Linked DNA regions of Drosophila melanogaster. The protein of the gene in region 2 interacts with the protein of the main gene of each other region in a pairwise test. Each region holds a gene or a part of one and is shown on either strand. Other genes may lie near its edges.

Region 1 (6,494 bases), on a different chromosome or scaffold from region 2:
ATAGTATTGGTGGTGGTGATGTGATACGTATTAAGCTGCTCGATTCGGATGACGAGAGCCTTTTTGGTGGAGGTGCCGGTAGTGGTGGCGGTCGGAGCGGGGCGTGTAGCGAGGACGACGATAGGGACACGTCCAGCGATAGTGTCTGCAACTCAGGCGACGAGTTGCACACGAGGCTACGCCCCCGGCCACGCTCCCATTCGTGCTTTGTGAACAAGAACCATCAATCGACCATCAACACGCCCGCTCATCTGCGCCCGCATCATGTACATCACGTTGTGCCCTATACCCACATGCTAGACAGCTCCCCGTCGGCGCTCTCCTCGCAGCAGTCTTCCTGTGATAATCTGCCTGCGTGCAGCGATGATGACGAGGTCCTGGCGGTGGCGGCCAACGGTCGTGCGGCCTCGTTGCGGCGGCAGCAGGATCGTCATAGGCGACGCCGTCAGAGGCGGGAGCGGCGCTCCCATTTATGTCACACTCCCAATCATTGTGGTAAAGTGCGGCCCATCCTATCATGCCTGTACCATTGAGCTGCCCTGCTAATTGCTAACTGCCAGAGCACTGCCACGCCTCACCGCCTGACTGCCGATCGCCCAGATCTTCCGCCTGCTCGCTCGCTCGCTCGCCTCTTTCAACCGCATCCACTCGCTCATTCTTTGTGCCGTTTGTTTGTTCCAATTAATGTCTGTGTTTGCTTGTTAACTTGGCGGGCAACCGTTCCAACTTGTGTCTAACTATGTTCGGACTTGGTTCTAACAGCTCCGATGATATAACGCTCACTAATCACAGAGTCCTCCCTCTGCAGCAGCTTTTGAAAAAGGCAAAGGACGCCTTCTTAGAATAAAGCAAAGCACGAAGCGCCTGTTCTGGTATTGCCTATTTCAAAAACTGTTTTAAAATACTTAAGCCACTTATGTATGGTTGCGACTTATGTAGAAAATCAATTTCAGTAGTATAATCAGAACAGGCAGGCTTTAAATAATCTTAGTGCTTCACAAAGAAAACCCCCATCATTGCCTTTTTATAATCAGACACTTAAACATTCCACAGAGACCGAGGAGACAGAGGAGCAACTGCTATCGCAATGGTTTACGCTGGTCAACAAGAAGAACGCACTCCTCCGGCGACAGATGCAGCTAAATATACTGTAAGTTATCACTTAGAACTACTATCGGCTTTGTTTCTTATTATTATCTACACCCTTCAGCGAGCAAGAAAAAGATTTGGAGCGAAAATATACAATGCTTAATCAAGAGCTGCGGGCGGCGCAATCTGTGGAAGATTGGCGCAAAACGGAAGTTCAGCGTGAAAAGGAGCGACTGCTGCTCGAGGAACTGATGACGATTGTCGACAAGCGCGACCAGTTGGTTCAGCACTTGCACAACCAAGAGATAGCGTAAGTGAAGCACTTTTCCCATCATTAAAATATACGAAGCTAACCCTCGGACTCGTTTAGGATCGAAGACGACCAGGAGATCGCGAGGAAACTGGAGCACGTGGACATCAGTGCTGAAAAAGACAAATGTGTTCTTCAATAGAAATCGAAATTAACCAAACCTGACTGGAGATTATACTTACACACACTCAATCTTATCTATGTAACTAGTTAGATAACAACTATGTTCAGAGACACGCGATAAGGTCGCGTGGTTTTTGTGGTTCGGTGTCGCTTCTTATGCAATCGTTATATCCAACGACAACAAATACTTGGACCACTTGGTATGGTTATTAAAAAAAAAAAGGTATACTGTGAAACAAAACAAATTGCTTTTGTATTTAAGCAAAACAATTCAAGAAATAAGAACAAAACGTCCGTTAGTGAACTAAGTAAAAAGACAGGCACACGTTTATACACCTATTTACGATAATCAGATCTTGGTATTACTTTAAATTAAATGGTGGTAACTTTGTTTCATGTTTCGTTGTTGTGCCATCTGAACCACTCCTAACTTATGTAAATCCTGAACGCAATAGCGATGTGAGATAGGGAATTGAGGAGGCAATTTTACGTTAGTTTTACTTTAGCATTTATCCCACATAACTAGAAACGCTTCATCCAAAAATACACGTACACTTATATATTTATGAATTACACTTATACAACAAACCTATCTTAACATACCTTATTTAGACCCGTACATTTGCTCTAAGTTAAGCAAAGCGCTTTAATCATAATTTAAAGGTGGCTTATATACTTATATAAAATACATTTTAATTTACTTTGCCCAGGCGAATGTTGTATAAAGAACTGTTCGACCCAAGGAACATTAATAGCTAATAAAAGAAACGAAAATGCTGTCATCAGCATCGAATAAACCCAAAACCATTCTAAGAAGTCTTATCCGTTGTTATCTGGGAAAGTTACTCCAATAACAAAACAAAAATGCGTCATATCGATTTATTTATTTTTTTGTATTAACAGGTTTCTCAATACAAATACTTAACAGAGTATCATTTTAATTGACTCAGTAACAAAAAAGATTAGTCACGTCGAGAGGTAATAGTTTTTTTTATTCGATCAACAGTTTAGTGTACAAAAATACATTTGTTTAATGCAATCAATCGTTAAATTAATATCGTCTTAATTGAGTGATAACATATGTATGTATATATACTCGGAAGCTGCATTATTTCCATGGATCACTTGAGAATTGCTTAAATGATTGCTAAATTAGCAGAGATTTCATCACATTGTACTTGATATTATTTTCGTTTCTCTTGTTCCTTCTGAAAGGAAGTCTTTTAATTACTCTACAACTCGTCTACGCATATAATCTAAAAGCATGCAAAGAGATTTAAAAGTTCACAACTAAGTGACGTCATGACGGCGCTACCATTGCTCTAGTTCAGCGATAAATAACTACAAAAGAAGCGAAATCAAAGTTGAGTATAGGACACAGCTACAAAAACAACAAATGCGAAGGATAGACTAACATTTGGCGTCGCCGGAGATGAGGCAGATCCGTGCGTCATTTCGTGGAGCTCCTCGTCGGTGTAGGTCTGGTTGGCAGCCTCGACCTTGTAGTTGAATGTCGCCGATACGGGCTTGTGGTCGGAGAGAGTGTAGTCCATGTGGGACTGATAAGACAGCTGGTTGGCACTCAGGGTAATGCCCGGATAAATGTTGCTCTGCACGCGATGCAAAATCCGATCGCACCAGGCGGGTCGCCGCTTCAAGTTGTAGTCATTAGTGCCTTCCACGAACTGCAAGGAAAATCAAATGAACTTTATATGGGTGCTAGAGATAAGGCGAATTAATTACATTCGACATATTGCCTCATAAATTAGTTGGATTTTGCTTTTCTCATGAAATCTGTGGAGCCGAATGAAGTGATTGATTGATGAAGTGATTGGCGGAAATTAAAAATTCAAGTGCAGATAAAATTAATTACACCCACCCCTATATACATTATTTAGATTAAGATTAGAAAGTTCAAGGCAAACTTTGACTGTAGAGATAATAAGATTGTATATTAGATTGTTACCTTAAAAGTGGGCGCAAAGTTGGGCTGCTGCTCCTCCAGCAAGCTGAAGGCGTTTCCCTTCTCCCGGAGCAGATTCAACTGGTCGAGCTTGAGCAGATCAGCGTATCGCTGGTTCTCCACATCCGTGCGGACATCCCAAGCGGACATATCGCCGGAGAGACGGAAGTTAAGATCGCCAAACCAAAAGACAAAGTCGTGATCGAATATCCGGCGATATCCCTGCGCATTGTACTTGTGATTGTCCACGATTTGGTGATAGTCTTCGATGCGCTCCTTCAGCTTCTCATCGTGCGCCGCCAGATGGGAGCAGACGAATGCGACGCCAGTTCCGTAGAGCGAAAGTCGAATGCTTACGGCACCCTTGTTGCCCCACAGCCCTCCAAGTCCCGTGCGCGTGGCTTCTGTCTCGATTTCTTTCATGTGCGGGATGTGCTTGTGCTGTGCGAACATGGTTATAAGAATTCCCTGCAGCTGCTTCGAGTCCACCTTTACGAACTGGTGATCGCTCAGAGAGTCCGCGATCTTCAGCACCCACGGATCGTCATTGAAGATTTTTAGCACCTGCGGTGTGGTGCTCACCTCCTGGAATCCGATTACATAGATATCGGGCAGCTGGTTATCCGGACAAGTGGTGGTGCCATTAAGGGACAAAAGGGAGCTCAGATCCTGATTTCGCGGCGTATGGGTGCCCACGTTCCAGGTCAAAAGGAAGATGCACAGATCCGCAATCGCCGTGGCCGTAACCATTTTTCCGCCGTCTAATTATCTATGATTAATACTTGTTGTTTTGGACGTCACAAGGTGGCTGTTGATGAGTTCATGGGCATCCAAAACAGGTTTACGGATTTGGCAGCATCAGCAAATAAAGCGAAAGGCGTTTTGCACACGCAACTTTCATTTATGTAACCGTTAATTCTTCAGCACTAATTTTTTAAGCCGCTTTAATTGGACTAGGAAGCGCTAGTTGCCCGTATTATTTATAGAATACTCAGATGTCGTTATTTATGTTTATTTGTCCGTCCGTTGCGTGAGCTTAGTGTGACCGCAGCACAACTATTTAAATATACCTTAGGCGGCGGCAAAAATTTTATGGTATCTCGATAGTAACGGAGCTCTGAAGCTCATCGAAAACATCGGCTAACATGAGCTTCTCATCTAATTTAGATTTTTATTTGAAACACATTAGATATTATAAAAGCCAAAAATCAATTTAAGAAATATAAAGATATAAGATTAAAAGTTGTACTGTGCGTAAGTTCCTTTAAAATAATAATACTCTTATTTCATTGTTTTTTTTTTTACGCGAGAATGCCCCTTTGCATTTGCTTGTGCTAAACCGATATTATCGGCAACTAGTCAATTGTGTGTACACACTGGCTAAGGATTTTTCATAAAAATAAACACTTTGTATAAACTTACCTTCCGAACTATTTTACTTAAGTTAAAAGTATGGCTAACAGCTACGACATACCCAGTTGGTGCGTTGTCAAATTCAGCCGCTGCCTTGCCACAAAATCACGTAGCATTTTATTTATTTTAGGGCTGGAAAACCGCCCACTGGCTTACATCTGGATGTGCTAAAGGACGACAAACTAGTACAAAAACTGATGGTGGATGAAAAAAGATGCTATCTATTTGGTCGCAACAGTCAAATGAACGACTTCTGCATAGACCATGCCTCTTGTTCGCGGGTCCACTCGGCGTTTGTCTACCACAAGCACCTCAACATAGCCTACCTCGTGGATCTGGGGTCCAGTAGGTACTAAGATATCTGGGATTCGGAGTAAGCTTATCCATTTACTTTTGACAGCTCATGGCACCTTTATTGGAACACTCAGATTGGAAGCGCACAAGCCCACACAGCTGCAGATTAATAGCACCTTCCACTTTGGGGCTTCTACCCGGAACTACATACTCAGGGAACGACCCTCTGGCCACCACAGCAACATCATGGAAGACCTGCCGCTCAGTGAAACCAGCGATGGAGCTCTCCTGGGCCTACCCGAAAGCCAAACGGAGCTTGATGTGCGTTTGGTTGAAAAGAAAAGCTAAATACTATGTAAACTAACCTTCCATTATCCTGCAGAATCTCACAGAATACAACACAGCCCACAATCGGCGCATCTCAATGCTGGGCATCGATGATGATACCAATATGCGAAAGCAAAACGCCTTGAAACAGGGACGGCGCACTCGAAATGTCACATTTAACGATGAGGAGATTGTCATCAATCCTGAGGATGTGGATCCTAATGTGGGACGCTTCAGGAACTTGGTACAAACCACTGTGGTGCCCGCCAAGAGGGCTCGCTGCGACGTCAATCATATGGGCATCCATTCGGGCAACAGCAGTTTGTCCAGTGCCAATGCCGCACATGTACACCAAATGTTCCAGCAGAGCCTAGTTGACATGAAGCAGCAGCATAGGGAAATGCCTCCGCCCAATGCGGTGCTCCACTCGCCTACTAATTCCCTATATCAAGGTCTACCGGCCGAAATGCATGGCAAGGGTGACCTAGAGCCCATCTCCCCGCTGAGCATTGGTTCCAAGTTGGGCCTATTGCTCCCGAATCCTGCGCCTGAAGTGCTGCCAGTCTATGACGAAGCTGTGGAGACCTCGACATTGGCTCAAAAGTTGGCCGTCGCTAATGCAAACGGTAATAGTTCTCGCGACTATTTGTTTAAAAACTTACTGATTGTTTATAACACCATTTTAGTTCGTCGCTTTGGTGAGGATCCGCATGACTCGAGTGGCGAAGGCGATTCGCTGTGCCCACAGAAAAAGAAATACGCCAAGGAAGCATGGCCAGGTCGCAAGCCCATGTTGGGGCAGCTGTAATTGCGTATTAACAAAATAATTAAGATTCCACCTACGATTTTCTCAAGCATATGATTGACAACACACTCTGGAGTAATATTTGTTTATTAGACTTTTAACGTAAAACAAAACATTTAATATCTTTATCTGATCACATCTTGCAGCTGTGTGGATACCTGGGGAAGGGT
Region 2 (8,713 bases):
GAACTAAATAGAAAAAAAAATCACTAAAAAAGCTCGGTAAATGAAAAAAAAGAAGAAAACGGGGTCACTTTAGGGCGAGGGTAGTCACTTAACTATTTATGGAATTATTGAAATGTCGATTACCTTTCTCTGGCCAATCGATACCACAATCGAAAGGGTATAAGGAAAATATATTAAACCGAGAAAAGGTTAAAATACATAAAGTAATGGCTAGTGGGTGGACTGGGCACACAGATTGATAAATATAGCCGAATGCATAATTTAATTGACTTTTATGGGTGCTCCGGCAGCAGCCCCACAATTTACACCATTGTTTGTTTTTGCATATAATTTCAATTGAATTTTAATTGAAATTATGACGACTCCTAGCTCCACTGAGCCAGACTCAACTGGGCGGCACTGAGCCATTGTTTTCCTAACCGTAGTGCTTTGTTTACGCGCCCCGGCAATAATTTTGCCAATGGGCTGTGGCTCGTGGGTTGTAATACGGTGGGTGGTTGGGTGGTCCGCCCACAATGGCAACCATTTAGCATATTAGAATATGCATTGTTTGCGCCCAACTACGGCACACGCAATGTGCGACCACCCAGGAGGCTCTGTTCACGGGGGACGAGGATCGAATTCTGTTTAGGGCTCGCCAGGATGTTTCCTAATAGCCGTCACTTAAATTGGCCAGGGAATTAAATTTCCTCGTTCCCTAACCAAGTGGTTTCCAATAGCACCTATACTATTTTCATTGTATCCTTGTAGTTTGATTAAGATGAAGAAATTCTACAAGATACAGTCATGGTCAAAATTATTTTCACAAAGTGCATTTTTGTGCATGGGTCACAAACAGTTGCTTGTGCAGCAAGTGGGGGGAGGTGAAATGCAAAAAAACTTTTGCTTTTGCAAATTCAAACCTATGCAGAGTCAGATGAAAGAAGAATGGAAAAAATAACTGTTCCTATGCGCAAGGAAGAGGCAAATGAAGAGATCTTTATCAGTTGTCAGAAGTATTTGCACACGGTTTCGTCGCATCACAATTATTTTCACAACGCAATTTCTTCTTCAGTGATTGGTTTAGAGTGACAAGTGCCGGTTTGTTTGCTTAAATACATTTAAATTATTGAATAAAAATTAGATTTAATCATTTTCCTATTACAGTTATTAAATAAAATGCCCAAAACAAAAGAGTTAACAGTTGAGGCCCGGGCTGGTATTGTTGCTAGGTTTAAAGCCGGTACACCTGCGGCCAAAATAGCTGAAATATATCAAATTTCGCGTAGAACTGTCTACTACTTAATAAAAAAGTTTGATACAGTTGGCACATTAAAAAATAAAAAAAGATCAGGCCGAAAACCTGTGCTGGACCAAAGGCAATGCAGGCAAATACTTGGAGTTGTGGCGAAGAATCCTAGTGCCAGTCCGGTAAAAATTGCCTTAGAATCAAAAAATACAATTGGCAAACAAGTTAGTAGTTCTACAATTCGTCGCAGGCTAAAAGAAGCTGATTTTAAGACATACGTTGTTCGCAAAACGATTGAGATCACACCAACCAACAAAACAAAACGTCTTCGATTTGCGTTGGAATATGTTAAGAAGCCTCTTGACTTTTGGTTTAATATTTTATGGACTGATGAGTCTGCATTTCAGTACCAGGGGTCATACAGCAAGCATTTTATGCATTTGAAAAATAATCAAAAGCATTTGGCAGCCCAGCCAACCAATAGATTTGGTGGGGGCACAGTCATGTTTTGGGGATGTCTTTCCTATTATGGATTCGGAGACTTGGTACCGATAGAAGGAACTTTAAATCAGAACGGATACCTTCTTATCTTAAACAACCATGCTTTTACGTCTGGAAATAGACTTTTTCCAACTACTGAATGGATTCTTCAGCAGGACAATGCTCCATGCCATAAGGGTAGGATACCAACAAAATTTTTAAACGACCTTAATCTGGCGGTTCTTCCGTGGCCCCCCCAAAGCCCAGACCTTAATATCATTGAAAACGTTTGGGCTTTTATTAAAAACCAACGAACTATTGATAAAAATAGAAAACGAGAGGGAGCCATCATTGAAATAGCGGAGATTTGGTCCAAATTGACATTAGAATTTGCACAAACTTTGGTAAGGTCAATACCAAAAAGACTTCAAGCAGTTATTGATGCCAAAGGTGGTGTTACAAAATATTAGTATTGTATTTATATAAAATAAAGAAATTCTTATGTTGAAATTAGATGTTAAGCTGAAATTTACTAAATTAAGTTGAGTGAAAATACTTTTGAAGCGCAATAAACATGTGAAAATACTATTGACAACTTGCATGCATATTTTCTTTTGCTTTAAGCTTTGTACTATGAACCGTTATCTTTCGTATTTCTTTTCGACTACCTTCTGCATAGATCAAGCTAAGCGATAAGAACTATTTCAGGCAAATCGGACAACAACAAGAAGAAATATAACAAAAAGAAGTTGAAGTTTGCAAATATTGTGCGTTGTGAAAATACTTTTGACCACCTCTGTATGTTTTCCCAGAGCCAACGAACTGAACTTGGTAAGTGTTTATTAAAGGACTTTGCCACAAAAGGACTAATCATTGGATAATCAAAAAATGATTGAACAAGTGTTAAAAATATTTTATAGGTAATCATTTTTCTCATGTTACTGAAAGTTGCAAGACTAGCGAACATATTTCAGTAATTTAAAGTGCCACACATCCATTGTTCAACATTTGTTTTTATTAGAGTTTTCCGAACTCAGCTGCCGGTGTAGTTTTACTTTTTCCTGTCCCTTCTGCCTCGTAAGTAAGGAAAACAAATAAATAAATTTCAGTTCTGGCCAGGGCACTCACTCTCACACACACACATAGCCACATGTGGAAATGTGTGTGTGAGGTTGCCTTTCATAAATTTGATATGTATGCGAATTCCTTTCGGTTGTGTGGTTGGGGTTTTGTTTTTTGTCAAGCGAAACCCATTTCCTGGGACTCACATGCTGCCACCAGGTTTCATCTACATTTGCAATTATTTTATGCTCCGCATTTGCCATTTCGTCTTTAATTAGATTTCCTGCCCAACCCCTAGCACAAATTTGCACTTGCCTTTGATGGGGCTTTCATTAGCCCGGCCTTGCGTGCCGTTTGTCTTGCTGGACGATAATTCCACTTTGGCGAACAAGGGCTGGCCAAAAAACACTTTAAGCCCTCTTCGGCTGGCTCACATGCATTTGCTATTGGGCTCTCGGTGTCATGCTGCGACATGCACTACTCGCCACGAAAACATGCAATTTGCAATGGCCATTTGCGCGACCATCAGTCAGTGGGACGCTAGAAACTTTAATTGCCCGCACACGTTTTAGCAAGCTAAGAAAGCTCGATGGAAAACACTGAGTAAAACTCGACAAAATCGCACTCGCCGCAAATGTGTTTTCGCGCCTTAGTTTTGGCCAAACTCTGACACACGAACGTGGACCTCAGACACCGAATGCCACTCGATATAATAGCCTTTCACCACGACGACGACCGCCAAGCACGTCCTTTCGCCAGCTCGTAACGAATTCAACTGAATCGCCACGGCCAGGAACAGCTCGATTTGTTTATGAATCGTCGTGTGCGCTTCGAGCCGAGTCCTCGGAACTTATTGTTCTGGGCGGCAGAGAGAGCTTTTTAGTCCTGTGAGTGGGGCTGCGAATATCGTAAAGTTAAGAGAAAGGGCATTTCTAGTGCTCTGCCCTTCACGCTCAGTTAAGAATTAAATTCTTGGTATGATACTTACTGCTTTACTTTCAAATTTTTGCTTTGCTTTAATTTGCTTTGTTTTAAAAAAGCATTTACTCTCACAATTTTTAGGGAAATCGTAGTTTTGAGTTCAGAGTTGATTATTAAAAATATAAATTCTTTATACAATTTAAGAAAGAAATTGCATATATTTATTCGTTTTCTGCTGTAATGAGTGAGAAAGTATTAGATGGAGAACAACATTTTCGTTTTCTTATTTTTACAATATAATTTAAAGCATTGCCGTAATTGTCAGGCGCAGTGACTTTCGAAGAACCATTTTGAATATCAAAATTTGGGAACACCAGCTCCCGGAATACAGGATTGTCCATTCCTATAGCTCCACATAGATGATCTAAATTGAACAGAGTACGCCTTTCCCCAAGTAGCAGGGGCCCTATCCGTATTCCTGGTCCCATTCTAGACACAAACAAAAACATTCACAGCAGTCGAACAGACAGCCCAAAGACACTCCCACACCAGCTGTGTGTATGCGGTTTAGTTGGCCAACCGCAAAATTCTTGGCAAACAAAATAAAGAAAACTAACTTGGGCCGAAGCAGAGCAGATCCAAGCGGCAACGGAAATTGTTAACCTTTGGGGATATCAAACATTTACGATTGCGTGGCAGCGGCAGCAACATTTAAGTTTTTATCAGCACAAAATAAAGTTTTGGTTTACGGATTGTGTTCCTGTCCGCCAACGCTCCTCCTACTATCCACCACTTTTTGGCCAGAGGCAGCTACAAGTGCCCAGGAGCCAAGACAGGAGCAAAATTCAGGAGCAGAAGCTGGATCAGGGGCTGAAGGTTCGTCCCTGTTGATTCTGGGGCACGCAAAACTTTTATCCTTTTCAATTTCGTTTTTCTTCGCCGAGTACTTTTGAGGGATTTAAATTTCTGTTTGCAGCCGAGCCAACAGCGAAACAACAACCGTGGGAGTGGCAGCATCGAGTTCGTGGCGACCAGGTGAGTGTTTCTTGTTGGCCTAATCACGGCTTTGCCGACTTGGCCACAATCAAGCACAATGCGATTGGCGCTGCTAATTTGACTTGAATGATACATAAAAAGGTGTACGAAAAAAAATTAGGAGGCTTATGTGAAAATGTGATGGTAGAAAATAAGTATATTTTTGATTAAATATTTTTAACAAATAGTATTTTTTAGTCTAAAAATAATTATTTTTCAGCCGTCATGAAGAAGAAGAGTCGTAGAGATCGGACACCAAAAGTAGAACAACCTGAACCATCGAGAGTTGTCAACACGGAGCCTATTCGACTGAACGTGGAACCCCAATCCCAAGAGATAGATGACCAGGCTGCACCATTTATTTTGGTAGACTGTGCGAAATATGAGGATCGTTCAGATTTGGAAGCAATGCTTAGTTCCATAGAAAAGGAACGGATGAAAAAGGTTCAGGCAGATATAGAGCAGCAATATTTTCCCCTCCTGGAGGATGAAGAACCACCTCCAGAATTAGATATGCCTATAAACCTAAGCTCTCAAGCATTGGCTGTACTGAATGATGCAGATAATGAGCGCCGCTTTAAAGAGGATCTGGAGAGCCTTAGTATTGCTGGACTGGAAGAGAAAGATACATCCATTAGCATTACCAACATGAAAATAGAAGACAGCAAACTATTGTTTCGGACTATGCCAGGTATGAATCAGATTTGCTGCACGCTAGAGCAGATGAAAAATGTTCATGGGAAAATTGGACCAGCAGAACCAACTCCACAGGCACGTTGCACCAGCTTGATTCCACTTTCAGGCCTTCGCCGGCAAGACACCTTCGAAATTAAACGTAAAAAGAACCAAAAGATTAGATATCCCGAGGTTTCCACCAAATCAGCAATTAGCGAAAGGAAACATCTACCATTAATTGCCAAGGGAGGAAAATGTGAGAAAGTTATCTCAGAGACTGATAAGATTTTCAGCCAGATTGGCGATCTTCTCGTGAAACTGCAGCTCCAACACGAGGGCAGCAAAGTCCTGAACAAGGGATCCTCTTATTCCTACATGGTGAACATTAAGCCAGCTGGAGGTGCATCCAATTGTTCAGTTTATGCGCTTACAAAACTCAAATCGCACGAAGTAGAGGAGACGCATGCCGAAAATCTAAGAACTTCTCACGCTCCATTGATCAACATTTTATACCCTGGTCGTGGTGGACTTATGGAGACTTCTGAGTTGTCCACGACCGCACGATGTATCGATGGAAGCTCCATTGGGTCGATGTCCCTTCGCGAAACGCCGTCCTCCAAGATCAAACCATCATTTTTACGCAAAAGGCCCAGTTCCCATCTAAGGGCACCTAACCCTGTCAAATTTTGCCACGGCAGGAAGAAAAATTAGGCCGCTTGGTAACCATTCCGCAAATTATTTGTTCGAAAGCCATTTATTTTCTATCGACATTGGAATCTCCAAATAATGCTTACAAATTCATATGTTGGTCATTCAAAAGGATCTTGAATGGATATTTTATGCAAAAATATATCAGTTGCCAGAGTCTAATGAACGGTAATAATTCAACAAATGCATACAATGCGGCCATAATATAAAATATTAAGTGATACAAAACAAATATATATTTTTATAAGCCATTAATTAAAAAATAACCTACATTTTGGTTATTAATGGTCTCTTGGATTTATTTCCACTAGGGTCAATTAATAAAATTGCAAGTCTGAAACCCAGTTTAAAAGATCAATATGCTGTTTTCGATTGAATTGAATTGTACAGCGCAAACAATATTTGTTTTTTCTTTATTCATCGCAAATAAACAAGTGGTTTCAAGTGGTTTATTTATTTGCCATTTTAAATTCATCACAAAATGCACAATAATTATATAGATGTTATCGGCATTCACATTTTCAATTACCCTCGTATTTTAATTTATTGTGTTGTAATTAAAGCGATTTAATCATATTCAATCGCCAGAGTCCTCCAATCAAAACTCGTGCACCTTTCTGGAGTGCTTCCCTGCATAAAAGTTGCATCTTGTCCACTTCCTGGAGGAGTTGTCTAATTGCATGGCCACGCACTTTCATTGCTCATTTCCGAGTTGCCCTCAAGTGCGTGGTTGCAGCTCATTTTGTTCGGTTTGCACAATTGTGGCCAAAGTGTTTTCAACTTTCTTCTGTCAATGCGCCCGGAGGTCGAATCCGAAGTCCGTGCCTCACCCGAAAATCCCCTCTTTCGGTTTGGGTTTGGTGAAATGTCGGCCAAGTGCTGGGCTTGGCTTGTGCCAGTTGGCAGACGTCCTGCTGCAGGACCTTAAAAACCTGCCTGCCTCCTGTCATTTGTCGTTGGCCAGAAATTGCAAGATTGACTACTGGGCTGCAGAGGGTGAACAAGTGGGTGGGCACAAAAGTTTTCATTAGTTTTAATTAAATCCCAAACAGCATTTCCATGCTGCACTCTTTCGCTCGCTCGTTCTCTGAGGCGTGTGCTCTTTCGAGCCTTTGTCAATGAGTTTTCCCAACAAAACCGAATTAAAAACACATCAAAATTAATGACACTCCGCCCCGGGATGGCCAGGAGCCGGGAGCTGGTCAAAAGGAAGTTGCCATTGCCTCCACTGCCACTCGAAGTGCGGACAGCATTTGTGCAATTTATTTAGCCGGCTTTTTGCGGCGCTTCTGGATGCGCGCATGTTGCTAAATAAATTTCATGATTTACTGCAGCCATACGGGAAACGCGGACAAGAAGACAAAAAAAAAAAATGCCAGTTGCCAGTGGCCACAATGTTTATATAGTTGTCGAGTGGGCGTGGCGCATCGACGGGTGCGAGAGGCGGGGACGTATGCCATGAGCCGAGGCTACATGAAATTTGCAATTAGATTTGGCGAAAAAGGCAGCCGCAACATCCGCCCGGCGTCCCAGTTCCACTTGCAACCAGCAACCAACTTCGTTGTCGGTTCGGTCCGGACGAAATATTTAATGCGGAAAGTTTAATCGCAATAGCAACGGCAGCTGCAGCGTCGCATTTCCGGCATTTGTTGGTTTTTAGACTGCATTTCCCGCATTCAGATGGCAGTTGCAACGCAGGACATGGACATCGCAGCGACTCATGGTTGACATCATTAAATTTGATGTCCGGCATTTACTGGTCACCGCCTCTTGTCTTCGGGGGCATCCAGGATGCCGGGTCATCGGGATGACAGAATGCGGACGCACTTTCACTGCGGCCAGCCTTTGAGTGGCCAAGAAATTAAATAAATTTTTGATTAGTCCGGAGCCACATGTATATGTATTCCACACTGCTTTTTAGTGCAGAGATTTCCCTGGGATTTAGGTGCGCTCAGCGAGTGGTGGCTTAATTTTCTGGTGACCGCTTTGAAAGTGGGCTGATTAGCTTGGTAACTGAAGTTGCACTGGGTTAGTCGGAGCTAATGGAAACAGAATGGTGTCATTATTAAAGTAGAAGATTTTTCATTTTTGTAGAGAAAAGGAAGCCTGTAACAGTCAAAATTTCATCAAGTTTGCAATTAAGAAAGTGCAGCATCGACACTCAAATTTCGGTGAAGTGATAATCGGAACATGTTTTTCGCTGTCCTCAGCATCTCTAATTAGCTTTCAGCTAATTTGCAAAAAACCCCCGAGCGTGGGAAATGAAAGCCAAATAAATGTTGCACACAATTAGAATGCACAACAATAATTACATAATAAATTCGCCAACGCAACTGGAATGGCAACTGCAACTGCAGCTGTCTCAGCGGCATTCAGTGTCTTCCGGCGGCAGCTGCCACGAAATGTAAATGAAAATAAGTGGCAGGACGCCTTCTTCGTCCTGTATACTTCGCTCTTGTTGGCGACCGCGTTTACAAATGCCTTCGACTAGTTGAGCACTTGATCAGCGGAGAAGTTGGCTGAGGGAGCGGGAGCATGAGCTTCCTTCATCCATTTTACTCCGCATGTGGGCGACGGCGAGATTAATAAAATTTATTATCATTG

What was found. Proteins that work in one complex are often made in the same cells at the same time.
Region 1: the proteins of CG10164 (region 2) and CG6805 interact in a two-hybrid assay, tested with the Drosophila melanogaster proteins (one large-scale study listed by BioGRID).

What each region holds. Positions count from the first base shown.
Region 1 is NT_033778.4:17,003,502-17,009,995, reverse strand, and holds CG6805 (uncharacterized protein), read right to left. Parts: upstream 4,546-6,494; 5' UTR 4,236-4,545; coding exon 3,489-4,235; intron 3,208-3,488; coding exon 2,881-3,207; 3' UTR 2,864-2,880; coding exon of another isoform or gene 2,834-2,863; 3' UTR 2,495-2,833; downstream 1-2,494. Other genes in the region: Ehbp1 (Eps15 homology domain containing protein-binding protein 1), read left to right, coding at 1-495, 1,054-1,150, 1,211-1,399, 1,460-1,541; NiPp1 (nuclear inhibitor of protein phosphatase 1), read left to right, coding at 4,938-4,966, 5,029-5,243, 5,299-5,513, 5,575-6,145, 6,206-6,327; AsnRS-m (Asparaginyl-tRNA synthetase, mitochondrial), read right to left, coding at 6,458-6,494.
Region 2 is NT_033777.3:23,552,246-23,560,958, reverse strand, and holds CG10164 (uncharacterized protein), read left to right. Parts: upstream 1-4,015; 5' UTR 4,016-4,726; intron 4,727-4,946; 5' UTR 4,947-4,951; coding exon 4,952-6,112; 3' UTR 6,113-6,636; downstream 6,637-8,713.